2 linked regions of the Yarrowia lipolytica genome follow. The protein of the gene in region 1 purifies or fractionates together with the protein of each later gene. This does not show direct contact. Links are inferred from orthologs where the notes say so. Each region holds a gene or a part of one and is shown on either strand. Other genes may lie near its edges.

Evidence for each region.
Region 2: the proteins of YALI1_C33098g (region 1) and YALI1_E24513g purify together in Saccharomyces cerevisiae (affinity purification with mass spectrometry, with the first as the bait; 3 studies listed by BioGRID). This does not show direct contact. The link is inferred for Yarrowia lipolytica from reciprocal best matches to the Saccharomyces cerevisiae genes GAR1 and UPA2.

The regions. Positions count from the first base shown.
Region 1 is NC_090772.1:3,308,635-3,311,470, reverse strand, and holds YALI1_C33098g (uncharacterized protein), read left to right. Parts: upstream 1-1,643; coding exon 1,644-2,249; downstream 2,250-2,836. Other genes in the region: YALI1_C33100g (uncharacterized protein), read right to left, coding at 1-1,252, 1,311-1,465; YALI1_C33086g (uncharacterized protein), read right to left, coding at 2,516-2,827. UniProt on the Saccharomyces cerevisiae protein: Non-catalytic component of the H/ACA small nucleolar ribonucleoprotein (H/ACA snoRNP), which catalyzes pseudouridylation of rRNA and is required for ribosome biogenesis.
Region 2 is NC_090774.1:2,449,523-2,453,363, reverse strand, and holds YALI1_E24513g (uncharacterized protein), read left to right. Parts: upstream 1-2,016; coding exon 2,017-2,025; intron 2,026-2,079; coding exon 2,080-3,225; downstream 3,226-3,841. Other genes in the region: YALI1_E24532g (uncharacterized protein), read left to right, coding at 133-1,824; YALI1_E24487g (uncharacterized protein), read right to left, coding at 3,403-3,841.

The DNA of each region.
Region 1 (2,836 bases):
GATCTCCACACGGCAGTATCCGGGATTGGACTCGCCCACAAAAGGAGGTGCCACATGCAGAACAGCCTCGTTAAGGATCTTTGTAGCGTACTTGCTGAATCCTGTGATTTCCTCTCCGGCGTCGTTTCGTTTTCTCGTCTTGAGACGGTTGACGACATTCTCCACATCACTATTGATCTGATGGAAGATCTCGACCTGCTGAAGACGCAACGACTTGAGAATAAAGTCGTTCATACTGAGATACTGCAGAGTAAGTCGGGGTAGAGTAAGCTCGGAGTACTGTGAATTGAGCGACTTTTCTGTAGGCAGCAGGTCTATAGCGTCAAACTCGGCATTCAGGTTTCGGTTTGAAGTGAGAGATGCCAACTGGTAGTTGAGAGTCACCAGTTTCTTGCCTGAGCTTCCCAGCAGGTTCAACAGGCTCTCAATTTCAGCCTTGGACAGGTTCGACAGCTCCTTCTTGACCTCATCCTTTGTGAGAGATGCAAAGTTACACAAACTCGCGAGTCGCAGCTTTTCAGGCAGATTCTCGAATGCATAGAGCTGGAACTTTTCCAGATACTGGGTCTGCAGCTTTCGCACTTGCAGAGGAGTCAGCTCTTCGCCGGAGAAATCGTCCATGGGAAAATGCACGTAAAAATCGAGGGTCTTGAGCAAATCGGCGTTACACTTCTTCAACAATGAACACACATTCTTGGACTTGATAACACTGTTGGCGAATCGTCTTGAGGGGATTTGCGACACAATAGAGATGAGAAAACACAGATATGTGTCAACAAACTCCGTATCGTGCTCCTTCTGTAACATGATGTCTGTAAGTGTCGATAGAAACGAAGACTGTTTATCGATGTCCTCCTTCTTGTCGCCCTTGTCGTAGGCTTTCATGGCGCCTCTCCAGAGCTTCCCCAGTCGCTTGTTTCCCTTGAGCAGGTTCTCTCGCACCTTCTCGTCCATATGCATCCATGTGTAGACCGACACCAATGCTCCTGCCTCTGATCGCACCAACTGAGAGTCAAGCCACTGGAAAGAAACGGTCAGAAACCGCAGTAGTTTGGTTCGCACTTTCTGGATCCGTGTTGGCTTGTCTCCGGCCACGAGATTGAGTACCGTTTTGTAAAAATGGCCAAAATTTTCGGGGCTCTTCTCGAACACCGTCCATAGATCGAATCCGTCATTGGCCTTGGCAAGAACAAGGAGTGCCACGACAATGGCATTTGTGTTGGCCTGTTTCTTGTTGTAAACTGGCCATAATCTGGGTTAGTAAGGAGTTCTAGCGGTGTTTCTGTGTCTGTGCATCTCTCTATACTCACTTCTCTAGTCCATTCAGAGACTCTAGGGTATGCAGGTCGCGATCATTGAAGCCGTTCTTCTCGATGAATTGATAGACTGAGTTTATCGACACGTTATCCTTGTTGAGCAGCGCTGCTAGAGGCGAGATCTTGAGCAGGTCTGTCGATAGGGCCATTTTATTGTCGTCACAGAGGTGATGGCTTAGTCAACAAGCACTACCCTACAACATGGATAGTACACTGCATGAGCAGGGCTAGGGCAGAAAAGTTAATGGGAAAAAATTAGTAGGTGCATACAACTTTTTGACCTTACAGTGAACTCATCACAACCTCTACTACAAACATCACACAAAAATGAGCTTCAGAGGACGAGGCGGATTCCGAGGTGGCCGAACCGGCGCACCCATGCAGATGGGCCCTCCCGATCAGGTGTTTGAGATGGGTGCCTTTCTGCACGCTTGCGAGGGCGATATCGTCTGCAAGTCCATCAATGAGAAGATCCCCTACTTCAACGCCCCCATTTACCTTGAGAACAAGACCCAGGTCGGCAAGGTCGACGAGATTCTTGGCCCCATGAACGATGTCATGTTCACTATCAAGCCCTCCGAGGGCTTCCAGGCCGCTTCTTTCAAGTCTGGTGACAAGTTTTACATTGGCGGAGACAAGCTGCTGCCGCTGGAGCGATTCCTGCCCAAGCCCAAGGCCACCGGCGTTAAGAAGCCCAAGGCTGCTGGAGGACGAGGTGGTGCTCGAGGCGGTGCTCGAGGCGGCTTTGGTGGCCGTGGAGGTGCTCGAGGAGGCTTTGGTGGCCGAGGCGGTGCTCGAGGAGGCTTCGGAGGTGCTCCCCGAGGCGGACGAGGTGGCTTTGGAGCTCCCCGAGGTGGACGAGGCGGATTTGGAGGCCGAGGTGGAGGCCGTGGTGGATTCGGCGGTGGACGAGGTGGCCGAGGAGGTTACTAAGGTCTGTCTGATATCAGCATCAATTAGCCACTTACACAAAGTCTGGGGTGAGATTTCCAAATCCCCACTCTGGGCCCATCGCATGTACTCTTTATTTTATTGATTGTATTATACCTAGTAAAAGTTATACACTTACTGCCACAGACACTTCTCACAGATCGTAATCAATATCGACTTTTGATAAATTTTCAAATTTTCAAATTTTCAAATAAGGTTGCAAAAAATTCACACCCCAAAAAGTTGGTCTGTAGTTGGACTTGAGAAGTTCAGTTACCCGGCAGTTCCTTGGTTTCGGAGATATCGGAGATTAGTGCGGCAGACGATGAGTCGGTCGACGCAGCTCCCTCGCTCGTCAGGTACGCCTTGATGTTGGAGACCATGTATTCTCGCACGTAATCCACATCTCGCTTGAAAACTGTGGTCGCCGCAGTCGCCAATTTCTTGGACCATTCCAGAGTGGTCAACTCCAAGCCCGTGGCCTCGTTGAGCACTGTGGTCGGAGGGAAGCCCACGTTGGAGGCGGTTCCCACAAACCACTCAATCCAATAGGCCATTTTGGGGTAAGTCGGTTCGGGCATTGCGATATA
Region 2 (3,841 bases), on another chromosome or scaffold:
AACTCAAGGCTCTCTCGAGACATCCGCTTCTTCTGAGGTAAAAGCGCTCGATGTATATAGAACAAATGAGTTGAGTGCAAGTAGTGCTTCTTTCATCTTCACGGTCGTCACATCTCACACATCACACGCAAAATGAAACACTTCGCCAAAACGAATCTCGTCAATCTCTACCTCGAATCTCTCCTGGCTAGCAACCCGCAACTGGGTCTAGTGGAAGATCAGAGAATCATTTATTACAAGAAGAAAAAGTCGGACAAGGTCCGAGTTATTTCGGGCGGCGGATCGGGCCATGAGCCCAGCTGGAGCGGTCTTGTGGGCTCGGGACTACTAGATGCTGCTGTCTGTGGAGACATTTTTGCATCTCCTTCGGCCAGACAGGTTATGGCCGGTATCAGAGCCTCGGAACCCGACAGTGGCGTTATTCTGGCAATCACAAACTACACGGGCGACAAGCTGCACTTTGGACTGGCCCAAGAGAAGTTCCAGGCCGAGTCTGGAGGCATGCAGGTGGCAGTCATCCCTGTGACTGATGATGTCGCTCTCGGACGAACCCGGTCCTCAAAGGTCGGAAGACGGGGACTGGCGGGAAACCTGCTTGTTCTCAAGTCCATGGGAGCCTGTGCTGAGGCTGGAGGTTCCTTTGATCACGTCTCCAATGTAGGACGGGCAGTGAACGACGGACTGGTCACGGTGGGATGTTCTCTGGACCACTGCAGTGTTCCTGGTCGAACAGACGTGGACTTTCATATCCCTCATGACAAGGCTGTACTTGGAATGGGTATTCACAACGAACGAGGACTTGTTGAGGTCGACATTCCCGAACGGCCTGAAGATCTCATCAAACAGATGTTGACTCTTTTGCTAGACCCCAACGACAAGGAGCGAGCCTTTGTGTCCTTCAAGGAGAAGGACGAGGTTATTCTGCTGGTCAACAACTTTGGTGGGCTGTCTAATCTCGAGAATGGAGCCCTAACTCAAGTGGCCCTGTCTGTTCTGGAGCAGGATTATAACATTGTTCCCTGTCGAGTCCTGTCTGGAGCCTTTGAGACGTCGCTAGACGGCCCAGGCTTTTCAATCACTCTTTACAACCCTTCATACTCTGCAACTCTCGTTGAAAAATTATCTAGCAAACAGCTTCTAGAGCTCATCGATGCTCCAACTGATGCTCCTGCTTGGCCAAGGGTCGGTGTCAACGAGCCCAAGAAACAGAAGGTGCTCTCCAAGCAGGAGGAGCTAGCGGCCAAGGACTGCGAAGAGTCGCCTTATGACGAGCTTGTTTCGCGTATTTGCAAACATGTCATTTCAATCGAGCCTTCTCTCACCACCTGGGATACTGTAATGGGTGATGGAGACTGCGGTATGGCAGCCAAAGACGCGGCACTTCACATTCAAAAGGAGTGGAATTCCCGCAAGCAGTCTTCTTTAAAGGGAACTCTTAATCTCCTCTCGTCCTGCCTGGATGACATGGGTGGCTCTCTGGGAGCCATTCTGGGCATCTTTGTTAGTGCTCTCATCTACAACCTGCAAAAGGAAGGAGTTGAACAGGCTCCAAAGGCGGTTGGATTGGCTTCAAAATCTCTCCAGACACACACACAGGCTCGCAAGGGTGACCGAACGGTCATGGACTCTCTGATTCCCTTCTGTGAAGTCTACGCCTCGTCTGGAAGTCTTCAACATGCAGCCAAAGCCGCTCAGGAGGGAGCAGAAAGCACAAAGACCCTCAAAGCTCAGTATGGACGAGCCAGTTATGTTTCAAAGACCGCAGATGTTCCCGATCCCGGAGCCTGGCTGTTTGCCGCAGTTGTTGACCAGCTTTCCAAGTAGACGCGACACCAGCAAACCAAGCAATTTTGATATATTTGATGAATACGAAGTTATTAACTAAACGTCTAAGTAGTCCCAGGTAAACCAAGTAATCCCAACTGTATACACATCCTCCCACCTGCATCAAAGATCACGAAGTCTAATCGAAATTATTTTGAAATTTTCATCAAGCACACCACACCACAAGAAGACATGTCAGAAGTGAGTATGAGCGAGTCAAGAGCGCCAATTTGGATCCCACAATAACTAACCGAGCTCAAGAGAAAGACTCCTGAGGAGCACAAGGCCAAGAAGAAGGCCAAACAGCAGGAGTTTGAGTCCACCCTCACACCCAACCAAGAGAGCGAGCTCCAGACCACGACTCCCAAGGAGGCTCAGCTTTCTGTGACTCTCGTTGTGCCCTCCACTTGCATTTCAGAGACTGTTGTCAAGTCTTACCAACAAGCTGTCCACACTGCTTACCAGATTGCTCGAGCTGCGGTGGCCTACAACGTGGACGAGATTGTCATCTACGAACCCTCAGAGCGGCCCGACATCAAGCAGGAGAAGACCAAAAAGTCCGAGACTAGCTCGTTTGGAAAGCCCAAGATTGTCTTCAACTCTGACGCATCTAACGACCACAAGCCCGAGCTGTCCGAGCGAGCTGTGACACTGGCTTCTCTGCTGCAGTTTTTCGTCACCCCCGATTACCTGCGAAAGTCCATTTTCACCCCGGAAACCACTACAACCAACTTTGAGTACGCCAAGAAGCTGCCCAAGCTGCTGCTACCGTTCATGGAGTCGCGAGACGCCCGATACAAGGAGGGCATGTCGATCCCAATGATCCTCAACAAGAACGTCAAGAGCAAGATCTCCAAACAAAAGAGAAACGTCAAGAAGGCTGAGGCCAAGGGTATCGAGCTGCAGCCACCAACCGTTGATGGTGCCACTCCTTACATCAACATTGGCGCTGCAGAGCCCCACGAGCTCGAATATGGCCAGACCGTTCCTGTGGGCGTCAGAGTGACTGTGGATACCAAGGAGAACAAGGTTGTGTCAGCCACAGAGGCTTACGGACAAGATACCGGGTACTCTGTTCGTGTGGCCACCGACTTCTCTCACATCTTCACCATGCCCTCTACTCCCGAGGGATACGACTACACCGTGTGGTGTCCTGGTGGAGAGTTCCGACAGAGCGAGCTTGCACCGGAAACACAGCCCAAGCCCATTCTGGCCCTGCCCCGAACTGTCAAGCGGCCTCTGTTTGTGTTTGGACAGTGGGATCACGTCGAGGACGCCGTCAAGCACGACACTGCGCTTGGAGTGTCTGGAGCCAAGGAGCTGTTCGATAGTAAAGTGGATTTCAAGAGACCTGTTCGAGTGGAAGACGGAGTTTTTGTTGCTCTTGATCGGCTGGCATAGGAGGATGCGAGTATGGCTACTTGCACGATAGTACAAGTTTCTACGCGCGTACATGTGGTATGGGTGCATATAATGTATATTAATAACATAGATCGGTTAACAGTGAGTTACATGAAGGATGCAAGTTGATGGAGTAGAAATGGTAGGGACCCTAAGGGTTATACGACTTCTCGAGGATTAGAACACAGTGCCATCGCTCTGAATCTCAATAGGAGGCCCGCCGTTGGATCGCTTTTCCTTGGCAATTTCACGACCAGCCTTCCAAGTGCCAGCCTCCAAAAGTTGGGGCAACACAAGAGGCGTTTCCAGCATAGCATTGACCATGGGAAGAAGGGCATCCAGGAAGCCAACGGTAAGAGCTCTCCACTCGACAATCACGTCAGAGGAGGGCTCAAACTTGGGAAGGTCATTGGCACCACTAAGCGATTGTTTCAGTGCCTCAGGCTTGAGAGTCAGAACCCCGAAATCGACCAGAAGACCTCCGTTTCGGTACTCGGGTAGACCAGTAAGTTGCTCTTCTCCCACAAACTTGAGGCCTCCATACTCCTTCATGGGGACCAGAATGGAGTACGTCAGCCACTGGGTGAGTTTGTGGAAAGGCGTGACAGATCCAGCT